3 linked regions of the Xenopus tropicalis genome follow. The protein of the gene in region 1 interacts with the protein of each later gene in a biochemical or structural test. Links are inferred from orthologs where the notes say so. Each region holds a gene or a part of one and is shown on either strand. Other genes may lie near its edges. The genes, in order: tnks, axin1 and rnf146.

Region 1 (4,090 bases):
TTCTCAAGGCAGGTGGTTTATTGGATGAGTGCATTTAATGGGAACATTTCATCCGTGCAGGCATAAAGCCAGTTTATAGCATTAGGAAAAATTTCTTATACTCAAAGCATCAACGCTGTGGGGTATCAGAAAAAATGTTGCCAATCGCTTCCACTAATTCTTGGTGTTGTCATTATAGGGTAAAGTTGGCAATTTTTGGTTGTAATCAATTGAATTGCCATACTTTTGAACCGTGGCTGGACATGTTTGCTGACTGGTACAACCTTCCATTTTTGCGTAGTGAAAGAACACATGATACTTAGCAACATTAATGATACATTTCTTTAAAATGTTCCGTTTCACGTTTTTTTTTATAAATGTAACCGAGATTGCATTTTTCTGTCCCTTTTCTGCACTGCAATTTCTGACTTTTTAAACAATGTAGCAGAAGTCAGCTCTTTTCCAGTCAGGACCGGGTATGTTAATCATCTGGCTTCAGTTACATAATTTTAAGTTAGAACTACCAGTGCAGATAATCGCAAGAGAAATACAATCACTGCTTTTACTAGCTATTGCAGTACAAATAATGTTAAAGCCACTGAAAAAAGTAAATAAATATAAGCTGCTATAGATACTGCTCAAATGATCACACAGGCTATAACGTTTCATCTCTGGTTTTGTTAACCTGACCCTTTATGTGTTTCAGGGACTAACCCTTATTTGACATTTCACTGTGTAAGCCAAGGAACTGTTCTCTTGGATCTTGCATCAGATGATAAAGAATACCAGTCAGTGGAGGAAGAGGTAAAAGATAACCTTCTATTATCAGTAAAAATAAACCTCTGTGTTTTATTTGTTGCCAGTTGTAGGCTTGGGTACTATACTTCTTAGGAAAGAATCTTACTGGTTACTTTTAATGAGTTTGCATTAAGTTGTATATCCTAATGTGTACAGGACACTACCAGTCTTTGTGAAAACATTAATGTAATTTTGGCTTAAATAGTCCTTAATAAATAAATGGAATAATAATGGGTTCATCTGTAACATACTAAATTTATGTTTAAAGGGGAACATCTCCTTTTAAGTGTGTTTTTACATTCCAAAAAGAAACACACTAATCAACAGGTGAAATCTGTGTACACCCATTTAATAGATACAATTGCAAAACACCATTTTTCTTGTCTTTAGCACAAAAAGGATTTGTTTGGTCTCTGACTTTCAAACATTGTTAATGTATTAAAACTGGACCATGTACAACTACTACTACTATGCCATTTAACAAAAGGGTTAATTCCCAAAACACATTCTATAGTTTTTGTATACATTAAAGAGCAAAGACAGGTTGAACCCCATTTAGATCATAACCATAGGAAGTGCCATGTTCACCCTTGAGATGGTTTTTAAGGTATGCATACTTTTAATCATTTAATCTTTATTTGTTGAAAAGAATTGGTAAAGTTTAGGTATCAATAATCTTAAGTGAATGATTGTTCTCTCTAGAAAATAACATTTACTTGACTTTTGTTTTGTTCTGTTCCTATTAATTTAAAGATGCAAAACTCTATTCGGGAACACAGGGATGGTGGCAATGCTGGAGGAGTTTTCAATCGATATAATGTCATTAGGGTAAGGCTAAATTATGTCTTTGTACACTGTTATCTTAATATATTACTCTCCATGCTTTTTTATTGATTTCCTTAAGGAGCATATTCTCTGCACACCTTCTGTTGTATTTTACCTGAAGCTTATAAGATTATTATTTATTAGTACCTTTATACAGCGCTGACAGATTAATAAGATCTTTAGAGATTGGTCATCATTCACATCACTCCTTACCGCAGGGCAGGTTACAATTATTTGGATTGTGTGGGATGGAACCTCAGTACCTTAGGGAAAACCCATGGCGAAACCCTAGTGAGACATTATTATTTTTTTTTTTTTTATTTTAAACCCAGAAGCCCCCAATTTTGCAAGGCAACTAACTTTATTAAGTCTGTTTATATATTTGATAGATATGTGCTTGAAATATTAAATGTTTTAAATAGTGGAATATTAATGCTACAAAATAAATTTGGTTTAATGCATCAGTTTAAATGGTCCTGTTTTTTATTTTATACTTTTTAATCCTCCCCCCCCCCCCTACAACAGATTCAGAAGGTGGTGAATAAGAAACTCAGGGAGAGGTTCTGCCACAGGCAAAAAGAGGTCTCGGAGGAAAACCACAACCATCACAACGAGCGGATGCTGTTTCATGGTATGTTGCTTTGTCTTACAGAAATTCCTATAGAGAAAAAAAATGTGGAGAGGAGTATAATGCATCACCATCTGAATTGTGGAATCATTAATTAACACCCAGCATTTTGATTTTAAATGTGAAACAGTCCAGTGCAAAAAATCGAAGCCATTTGAAAAATGTTGCATAAATAAAAAAAAAACACTTTCATTTTCAAAGTCATTTTCCGAATACGTTCCATCTGAACTTTTCCTTGACTTGGAAGTCTATGGAAGTCTGAACTGATGACAAATACGTCGTTGAGGACACGTAAAATAAAATAAATGATTTCTTTGATTGCGATTGCTTTTGTTAAATGACTTGTATTGGAAATACAGCCCTTTTTGTGATGGCACAAATCATTTAACACAGCTTGACAAGTAGGCACTGAAGTTGCAAAAATTGCAGTTTTTTTTTTCTTGCTCAAAAAAAAAAGACCCTGTGCAGGATGTATTTCTGATCAGAAGATATTGGAGATATTGTGTCTAATTTGCATTTTCAAGTCATTCCTCTTTTTAAATCCCTTTTTTAGGCTCGCCCTTTATTAATGCAATTATTCACAAAGGCTTTGATGAGCGGCATGCGTACATTGGGGGTATGTTTGGAGCTGGCATATACTTTGCAGAAAACTCTTCTAAAAGCAACCAGTATGTCTATGGCATAGGTGGAGGTACCGGGTGCCCAACTCACAAAGACAGGTCATGTTACATTTGCCACAGGTATTTACTTTCTTCTAATATCAAATTGACTGTAATGGTATCTTTACCAAGTGCTATACTAGAAATAAAACAATATTTAGGTTTTACTGAACAATCCTCATTATTATTATTTTTTTTTAATGAGCAGTAACATTACTTAGTGCTATTATTATTTTCCTTCTTAATACCAATTTGTAGCACTGTGGAAAAGACTGAAATAGATGATGTACCCATATTTAGTGCCCATAGTAGTTAGTTTGGAACTCTGAGGGCTACGCAATATGGGACACTTTGTTTCTTGTGGTAAATCTGCACTATTGTGGGTGACAAAAACTCCCTAGTTTCCTTACTACTGGCAGTGATGTAAATCGCTGGTGGGAAAACATATGAATTGCGAAGTAGCTCGACATATCTGTGCATGGTAACTGCCAGCTGGAAAGCAGAAGTGACACATGTTTTCCCTCTGGTGATCCATATTGTTGGTGGGAAGGAAACTAGGGATTTTTGTAGTCCGTGGCACTGAAATTTACAGAGAGATGAAATGTGCCTTGTGCAATTGCCCTACTACCCATGGGAAAAAATTGAATTTAACTGCTCAGTGCACAATGACACATTAATCTGTTTTGATAACAAATTATATGATTTTTGCAGAATTCAACTAAAATAAATAAATAAACTATAGAGTTTTCATGTGGAGAAAAAAATACCCCTTAGAATACAAGTAGGTGGAATAATGCTTTCTAATATTGTAAAATAGGAAATGTGCATCTGGTACAAGCTGTCCCTTTGCTGAGCAAGCAAACCCTTAATGTCAGGAGCTGAATTTATTAGTACTTTATTTCAGTGTCATGACATGCACTACTTCATACAACGTCAAAAATGCTGGAACATTGTGCTCATGATTTATTGGTGGCCTTTCAAGTATTGGTTCTTAACAATGAAAATAATTTCCTCTCAGTCTGTGGGAAATAAACCATTTTCTGTGCTCTATTCTTGGCTTTTATATTAGTCAGAAAATAATAGTTAGCAGGGAAGTGCTTCTATTAAAAATGCTGTAGTGTTGTTTAGTAAATGTGTTTTACAGATCTATTATTTTTTCTTAATGTTGTTTATTGGTGAGTCACTGAAACCTTAGTTTGTT
Region 2 (4,619 bases), on another chromosome or scaffold:
CCATAGGGCTCAATGGCACTCTGCAGCTCCAACCCGACCCAAGGAAAGTCTCCCATAGGACTCAATGGCACTCTGCAGCTCCAACCCGGCCCAAGGAAAGTCTCCCATAGGGCTCAATGGCACTCTGCAGCTCCAACCCGACCCAAGGAAAGTCTCCCATAGGGCTCAATGGCACTCTGCAGCTCCAACCCGGCCCAAGGAAAGCCTCCCATAGGGCTCAATGGCACTCTGCAGCTCCAACCCGGCCAAGGAAAGTCTCCCATAAGGCTCAATGGCACTCTGCAGCTCCAACCCCGCCCAAGGAAAGTCACCCATAGGGCTCAATGGCACTCTGCAGCTCCAACCTGGCCCAAGGAAAGCCTCCCATAGGGCTCAATGGCACTCTGCAGCTCCAACCCGACCCAAGGAAAGTCTCCCATAGGGCTCAATGGCACTCTGCAGCTCCAACCTGGCCCAAGGAAAGTCTCCCATAGGGCTCAATGGCACTCTGCAGCTCCAACCTGGCCCAAGGACAGTCTCCCATAGGGCTCAATGGCACTCTGCAGCTCCAACCCGGCCCAAGGAAAGCCTCCCATAGGGCTCAATGGCACTCTGCAGCTCCAACCCGGCCCAAGGAAAGTCTCCCATAGGGCTCAATGGCACTCTGCAGCTCCAACCCGGCCCAAGGAAAGTCTCCCATAGGGCTCAATGGCACTCTGCAGCTCCAACCCGGCCCAAGGAAAGTCTCCCATAGGGCTCAATGGCACTCTGCAGCTCCAACCCGGCCCAAGGAAAGTCTCCCATAGGGCTCAATGGCACTCTGCAGCTCCAACCCGGCCCAAGGAAAGTCTCCCATAGGGCTCAATGGCACTCTTTCCTTGGGCCGGGTTGGAGCTGCAGAGTGCCATTGAGTCCTATGGGAGACTTTCCTTGGGCCGGGTTGGAGCTGCAGAGTGCCATTGAGCCCTATGGGAGACTTTCCTTGGGCCGGGTTGGAGCTGCAGAGTGCCATTGAGCCCTATGGGAGACTTTCCTTGGGCCGGGTTGGAGCTGCAGAGTGCCATTAAGCCCTATGGGAGGCTTCCAAAATCATGCACAGAAGGTTTCAAAGTTAGAAAGGTTTTCGCGCCATTTACGATCATTCGGACCGTACCACAATATTTACGTATGACCACGATACAAATTTTTCGCGTTTTTAACGCACATCATAAATTATCGGATTTAATACGAATTTTTTTCTATTGAAGTCCAGAATTCGGACTTCGATAGACGGGCCCCAAAGCGTGATTGTTACTTTAGTTGCCTCAATATTCCCACCAATAGAAGGCTGGGAGACATTACCTACATTAAAAACCACAACTCCCAGCCCCCCCCTGGCAGCCATTGGCTAGCTTTGGAATACTAGGACATACACTACAGGACCACAATTCACCCCATAACCAGAGTAGTTCTTGTGGGAGCTACAGCCCAAAAGCTTCCTCACCAACTCTTACCATCCCTCCTCAGAGAACCCTCCCACACTGGGGCCCTAGGGCCCATGGCTGCCCTACATATACTATTCCCACCTCACAGACACCCCATATTAGAGCCGGGGAGCGCATCCCTGAGGTAAAAAGCGGAGAGCTGCTTGGAGTCACATGACTGCGCGTACCAGCGGGGCGGGAAAAATCGCGAGAAGCTGCGGGGCCGCGCATGTGAGGCGCGGGCACGCCAATGCGCACTCCCGCGGGTGCCGTGCACGGTGTTTCTCTCACACACTCACTCACTGTGTATCGCACTGTCCGGGGCATGGCCGCATCCCGGCGCTCTGCGCTCTCCTGTTTCCCGAGTATCCCTGCGCGGTGGCGGCTCCAGCTGGAAGCTTGATGGGTGGCTGCGGAGCGGAGGGAGAGGGCCCGGAACGGCTGGGCACAAGAGCCGGCTCAGGGCTGCCTGGGTGAGGAGCAAGGCCACACGGCTCTCTGTCTGTCTGTGTGTGTGTGAGAGGAACGGGGGGAGGAAACTTTCCAGGAGAGGCGGACGGATCCAGTTTGTAGGCCAGGCCCCGGCTTTGCCAGTACCGCTGGGCCGCATCTTACTGGGAAGCCCCGTACCCTGGCCCGTCTATAGGCATGCATGGGAACCCTGTGGCCCTGTACGTGGCTGTGGTAATAGAGTCCATCACAGGTTGCTCTGCTGCCCTTATTCCCAACATTGGGGCTCTGAATGCTTTGCTTTTCTGCTAGAGCATGCTGGGAAATGTAGTCCCAGGGATGAACATCACCAGACACTGAATGACTACATCTCTGGGCTCAGAGGGGTTACTGGGAGTTTTAATTCAGCATCATCCACAGGGCTGTATGGGGGATATCTGTCAGCTTTACTGGGGCTTTACTACATCCTTACTATATCTGGGGGGGGGGGACTATTTTGCAGGGATCCCATCATTAATGGGGGGGAGACAACTTATCTACGTGATAAGCTGTTAGTGGGGTGATGGGAGTTGTTTCACTGGCAAATGCACTGTGGCTGCAAACGATGGAGAATCCACAGCAGTGCGGTATTAGGGTGAAGACACACGGAGCTACTAGTAGCAGCTACTTGTCACGGCTACTATTATAGACAATGCTGATCATTTACTGATAATTGTCTCTACGTGTGTTTTAGCAGAGGCAATTCTCTGTATTGTCTATGGCAGGGGATTTTCTAGAGTTTAGTAGCCATGAAAAAGTAGCTGCTACTAGTAGCTCAGTGTGTCTTCACCCTAAGGGTAAAGACACACGGAGCTACTAGTAGCAGCTACTTGTCACGGCTACAAAAATAGACAATGCTGATCATTTACTGATAATTGTCTCTACGTGTGTTTTAACAGAGGCAATTCTCAGTATTGTCAGGGTATTTTCTGGTGTTTTGCAGCCATGACAAGAAGCTGCTACTAAGTAGCTCCATGTGTCTTCACCCTTAGGGTGAAGACACAGAACTACTAGTAGCTGCCACTGCCATAGACAGTGGTTTTGAAGTTATGTGTAAATGTAATTGGTATGGAAAAACGCTGCCTGGATGTTTGTATTCTCTGCACTGCTGGCTCTGACTTCTGCATAGCGGGGTGATGGGAGTTGTTTCACTAGCAAATGCACTGTGGCTACAAACGCTGGAGAATCAGCAGCAGTGCAGTATTAGGGTGAAGACACACGGAGCTACTAGTAGCAGCTACTTGTCATGGCTACAAAAATAAACAATGCTGATCATTTACTGATAATTGTCTCTGCGTGTGTTTTAGCAGAGGCAATTCTTAGTATTGTCAGGGTGTTTTCTGGTGTTTTGCAGCCATGACAAGAAGCTGCTACTAAGTAGCTCCATGTGTCTTCACCCTTAGGTAGCTGCCACTGCCATAGACAATACTGAGAATTGTCTTCTAAAACACACATAGAGACAATTATCAGTAAATTATCAGCATTGTCTATTTTAGTTGCTGCTACTAGTAGCTCTGAGTGTCTTGACCATTAAATCGATCATGGTGGGAATTGTATTCTGTGGGTTGTCCGGCAGTTTCACCATGGGTGGGAATTGTAGTTCAGCAAGGTGTTTATTGACCATTGCTCACTGTGTTCCATCACCTACCTTGGGCTTCTCACCCTTAAGGAAACAGGGGGGCTGCTGTGGCAATACCCGCAGGGCCACAGGTTGCTCATTGCTGCTGTAGGGACTAAGCCAGTTTATGTGTGGGTTGGGGGTATGATTGGCTTTATAGTTTTCGTTACAACTGCAGTTTTATGTAAGAAATGCTAAGGTACCGTGGGAGTGTGGGGTATTGTCAGTTCATGCATTAGCACTTTCCATGGTGCCCAATATATATTGGGGGCAGAAGTTCTCCGCATTCTGTGCATGTCAGAATCTGAATGCCGTAGCCAGACGCCTTGGGGGTGTGGGGGACCCTGTTTCTTGTGTTCCTACCTGCCTACCTGATCCATCGGCACCCAGTGCTTGGTATATTACTGATATATACTGATCATTTGCAAATAATCCTGCAAGGCTGTGTGCCCACTCCTGACTTATTATATCTGCTTTTGGTCTGACCAAAGAAATCTATCCTCATTGTTGGGGGGGAAATGTCTATTTATAAAAAAAAAAAAAGTGAATATATGTGTAATGTGATGTGTGTAAAAAAGAAAATATATATGTATAGTATATATCAAATTGGAATTAGAACTCTCAGGACCAGCAACTTCTTTGTTATATAATATTTGTATTTTTGACACATTATACAGAAGTCTTATAGTTATCAAGGAGAGATAGATATTTAAAATATATTTTCGTTGTAACTGACATGTAACTGTAAGCAGTATATACATTCATAAATGTCATTGGTTTTGAAGTTATGTGTAAATGTAATTGGTATGGAAAAACGCTGCCTGGGTGTTTGTATTCTCTGCACTGCTGGCTCTGACTTCTGAATCAGTATAGCAGAAACTATCGAGAGCAGAACTAACTTGTTTCAGGAGTCGGAACCAGAGAAAAGGAATGCAGACACATGTAGCTGGCTAGAAAGAGGATTTTTACACTGTGTGTGTGGCGAGTTAGTCTATTATAGCCCCCACTGGAAACAGTAAAAGGGATTGCCGGGCAGAAGGTGATGTCGCCTAGTGGTGCTGAGGAGTAGA
Region 3 (4,660 bases), on another chromosome or scaffold:
TTACACTTACTATATGTTAAACACAATTTCTAACCTACATACAGGCTATAGTATTTTTTATATCCCAAGTCATACACTGTTCTCAGGAGACCCCCAAAACATTTTTATGTATTACACATAGGGTACCTTTTGGTTTAGCACCACAAAGTAAAATGTCAATGTATGCCATTCCCATTTAGCAAACAGCTATTAGGCCACAGCCTCTTTTTCCCCATTAATTATAATTATATATAAACAGGTCTTTCGGCCAAAGAGCAAGATACTTCATGTTAATGGTAAAAATAATTTTTTTAAACAAATATTCTAAGTCTGAGCTCAAGTCTAAAACATACTAAGGAAATAACAAGGATGACATTGCTCTTCTTTCTCTGGCTGACTGCTTTAGACTTCTGTGACTGTGCACTGTCCATCAGGTCTTTTAGACCTTACACTGGTACTTTGTGCCTATGCAGGTGGGGTACAATCAGGGATTACCAAATGGGAGCCTATTACTTTGTGGCACAAGAAGTGAATTATGTTGTAATGTAGGACTTCCATGGTCATTACTGTCACTTGGCTCTGATTCTTCCAGCAAAGCACTGGGGGCTGGCATTCTAGCGTTAATTAGAGGCTGTCCTTCTTCACCTTCACCTATATTATTCCTGCCTATCACAGGATCGCCAATCTGAAGCTGAGCAAAGGAGTTCTCCAATGAAGAAGTAACATCAGAATGTGAAAGGGCATGACTTGCAGTTGTACTGAGGGATGTGTGCAGCCTTGTTGGTAACACAGGTGTAGGTTGACTTGAAGAAGCTCCAAGTGCTGCCATGTTGTCCGCACCATCTGCTGAGCTCTCTCGCGCTAGATTTACATTTGCTGCATCACATTCAAGCCTTAGCCCAGCAACTCCTTTTTTTGGTATATCTACAATATCTCTCTTGATTTTTCTACGCCGTCCATGCTCATTACGCCTGTATTGAACCATGTTCTCCAAGTCTGCTACATAGAGGAAGCCAGCTATCAACATCTCTGTGCTCTTTTTGCCTTTTGTGAAGGCATCTTCAAGCTCTCTGCTTGTCCGCTCATCATACTGCCACCAACCATTTCTTCCCTCATAATACCATGCATATTCTCCATTTCCCCTACTTGCAGATTTCAGTTCCTCAGGTGACAGTAATGTAGGCTTATCAAGAAAGTCCTCAGGAATCTCTTGTCTGCACAAAGCACAACGCCTTCCAAGCCAAGAAGCCCCCTTCACACACAAGTAGCAGAATATGTGTTTACAAGGTAGACTAACTGGATGCACACAGGTCTGCAGGCATATAGCACATTCAGGAACAGACAATGAAGGAGCACTGTTGGGACAAGGCTCAACCAGTTTCTTATTAGTGGGCAGCATGTTAGCAGAGTGGCTAACTTCACCACAACCAGCCATCCTGTTGGTAAAAAAATTAAAAGGTTTTATGAGGTTGATTAGAGAAACTGAAAACCAGTCTATGATAAACAATTGAATTGTTCCAGTTTAAAAACGGATGAACAGAAGAAAAACTGGCAGCATAGGTGTTATTATTGTTTACAGATCTTTATTTCAGTTCCATTTCTCAGGTGCTATATCCAGATGAGAAATAGAACCTCGATTTTATGTTTTCCTGGAATTGATACCATTTTTTCCATGTTAAACCATTTGCGCCACTTTGACAGTCCCTTGGAAGACATAAAGTTAGAGTTCTATTGTTATTGAACAGGAGAAAAAGTTCAGCAGGGCTTTTCAGAAGCCAGCCAGCCACCCACTGGAAATTTATATACTTAGGATATTTTATGGAATCTCTCTCAGAAACAGCTGCAATACACCCCAAAGTAACTGCTGTGCCCTGAAACTTAAATTCCTTAAACTAGCAGTAGATCATAGTAGATGAATGGGAACTCAAAAAGCATCTTTTCAAGTTAGCCTTTTTGGGGGAGCTTTATTAAAGTATTTTAATTGAATGAAAAAAAAAAATGTGATTTGTGTGTGTGTTTGGTAGAGGTGAGGGGGGTTAAAGGAATACTGTCATGAGAAAACATGTTTTTTTCAAAACGCATCAGTTAACGGGGTTTCTCCAGCAGAATCCTGCATTGAAATCACTTTTTCAAAAAAAGATTTTTTTATATTTAATTTTGAAATTTCACATGGTTCTATCCATATTCTTCATTTCCCAGGGTGCTACAGCAATGTGACCTGTGCTCTGATAAACTTCAGTCACACTTTACTGCTGAGCTGCAAGCTGGAGTGATATCACCCCCCCCCCCAGCAGCCGATCAGCAGAACAATGGGAAGGCAGCAAGATAGCAGCTGCCAGTATATATCAGAATAGCACTCAATAGTAAGAAATCTACGTCCGGCTTGGGACTCCTCCAGTTACATGGGAGTAGGTTATCTGAAAGCAGTTCTAATGTGTAGCACTGGGTCTTTCTGAAAGCTCAGAATCAGGCACAATGCACTAAGATGGCTGCCTATACACCAATATTACAACTAAAAAAAGATACATTTGTTGGTTCAAGAATACAATTTTAAATGGTGAATTGAATTATATTTTATGTAAACAGTGTAATTTGGTAATAAAAAGTACAACATAAAATTCATGACAGTATCCCTTTAACTAGATGCAGATGAGACATGATTATTTGGAACACAATTTAATACAGTATAGAATGTTTCTTCTTGACATGAAGCCCATGTTCAATTTTCCGTATTGCAAAAAGTCAAGGTTTAATACAGTATATACTCTATAAAGTAATAAAAAGAAGAGAGCATTTGAGCTGTATAAAGCAGCTGTGGTTTCGCCCCTCTCTTTAGCACTATATGGGGAAAATGATACGTTCACTTGTTTAATTGAAATATTTAAGAAGCTCAGTGTCTTAAGATCGCTCTAAAGGCTCACCCCTTTTGGAAAGCGCTGTACATACAATAAAACATGCATTTTTTATGAGGCCTTAGGTATTTGTGCCAGACACCCTACAGTGAAGAAATGCAAGCTTCTGAGAAATCACAATACACTCGGCCTAAATTCAATGGGAATGAGAACTTCGAATAAATAATTTAGAAGTAAAAGCGCAACCTGACATACCGCCCAACAGTCCCGCTTCTCGCGGGACGCTCTCGATATTTTTAACACAGCCCGCAGAACCAGATTGCCGTTTAATCGTCCAACAACGCCATTAATATCCAGCTCCTTGGCTCCTGCCGGAAAGCTAATCCCGACGTCAAAATTGTCATCTCGCGAGACTGTGGCGTCACTACCACACGTATATAAGCGCAGTGACGCGGCACGTAGAGGGGTGACAACTTACTTCCTTGTTTCACAATTATAAGGCGCTAGTAATACAAGGAAGCGTGTTTGCAAACGTTTGCTTCACAGCTAGTAGTTTTCGCAGTTATAGAAAGAAAGAGTCATTTCGTGGTGGTAGCCTACTATGCATGCTGCCTATATTTAGGCACAACTAAGTATTTGTTTTTTCTTATTAGAACTTACACTTGTGTCAGTGAACAAACCCTATTTGCTGGGTTGACAAATGATTTTATTCTTTTCACGGCTTCTGTTTTATTTTTTAGGTGGATATTGTGTTGCAAAGTCTTTGTTTTACCTAAAACGGTTTTTTTTGGCTCTGCTTTAATGAACCTGGTAACAAAGAAAAATAATTTCTTATCAAACATGCTGCCATCAGTGCCTCTTCAATTTGACTAGCAATGAAAGGGTCTTTTTTTTTTTTTTTTTTTTAAACTAGGGCCAGGTGAAGGTCCCAATGTTTTGTTTTTTTTTTGTTTAGTTTTTTTTTAAGTAAGGGCAACAATTACAATTTAGGGACAAAACTGGTTATTTAGGAGAAGACATTGGGTGAAATAGAGCAGCAGTAATCTTTACGTTTTAGGCTCATTTGTTCACGGTGGTGTCAGTTTTCCAGGTTTTATTTTTTCGTAAACTAATGCAAGACTTTTCACAAGTTTTTAGGCTTTTTTTTTTTTTTTACATAAGAGGATCCTGTGGCCATTTTTTGAATTGCCAACAGTAATCTTTAGTTTATATTTTTACAATTTAGTGACAACAGTGACATTCAGAAGACTTAAAATATCCTAAAGTAATCTTTTACTCTGGTCCTAACTCCAAAGTGCACAGGTTCTACAGTGGCTTGCAAAAGTATTCGGCCCCCTTGAACATTTCCACATTTTGTCACATTACAGCCACAAACATGAATCAGTTTTATTGGAATTCCACGTGAAAGACCAATACAAAGTGGTGTACACGTGAGAAGTGGAACGAAAATCATACATGATTCCAAACATTTTTTACAAATAAATAAGTGCAAAGTGGGGTGTGCGTAATTATTCAGCCCCCTTTGGTCTGAGTGCAGTCAGTTGCCCATAGACATTGCCTGATGAGTGCTAATGACTAAATAGAGTGCACCTGTGTGTAATCTAATGTCAGTACAAATACAGCTGCTCTGTGACGGCCTCAGAGGTTGTCTAAAAGAATATTGGGAGCAACAACACCATAAAGTCCAAAGAACACACCAGACAGGTCAGGGATAAAGTTATTGAGAAATTTAAAGCAGGCTTAGGCTACAAAAAGATTTCCAAAGCCTTGAACATCCCACGGAGCACTGTTCAAACGATCATTCAGAAATGGAAGGAGTATGGCACAAC

What was found.
Region 2: the proteins of tnks (region 1) and axin1 form a complex in vitro, tested with the Homo sapiens proteins (2 studies listed by BioGRID). The link is inferred for Xenopus tropicalis from reciprocal best matches to the Homo sapiens genes TNKS and AXIN1.
Region 3: the proteins of tnks (region 1) and rnf146 form a complex in vitro, tested with the Homo sapiens proteins (3 studies listed by BioGRID and IntAct, with this or other methods). The link is inferred for Xenopus tropicalis from reciprocal best matches to the Homo sapiens genes TNKS and RNF146.

The regions. Positions count from the first base shown.
Region 1 is NC_030677.2:97,830,140-97,834,229, reverse strand, and holds part of tnks (poly [ADP-ribose] polymerase tankyrase-1), read left to right. Parts: intron 1-685; coding exon 686-783; intron 784-1,530; coding exon 1,531-1,605; intron 1,606-2,127; coding exon 2,128-2,233; intron 2,234-2,783; coding exon 2,784-2,970; intron 2,971-4,090.
Region 2 is NC_030685.2:15,101,793-15,106,411, reverse strand, and holds the start of axin1 (axin-1), read left to right. Parts: upstream 1-1,624; 5' UTR 1,625-1,915; intron 1,916-4,619. UniProt on the Homo sapiens protein: Component of the beta-catenin destruction complex required for regulating CTNNB1 levels through phosphorylation and ubiquitination, and modulating Wnt-signaling.
Region 3 is NC_030681.2:67,899,906-67,904,565, reverse strand, and holds the start of rnf146 (E3 ubiquitin-protein ligase rnf146), read right to left. Parts: upstream 3,163-4,660; 5' UTR 3,087-3,162; intron 1,416-3,086; 5' UTR 1,415-1,415; coding exon 464-1,414; 3' UTR 1-463. UniProt on the Homo sapiens protein: E3 ubiquitin-protein ligase that specifically binds poly-ADP-ribosylated (PARsylated) proteins and mediates their ubiquitination and subsequent degradation. May regulate many important biological processes, such as cell survival and DNA damage response.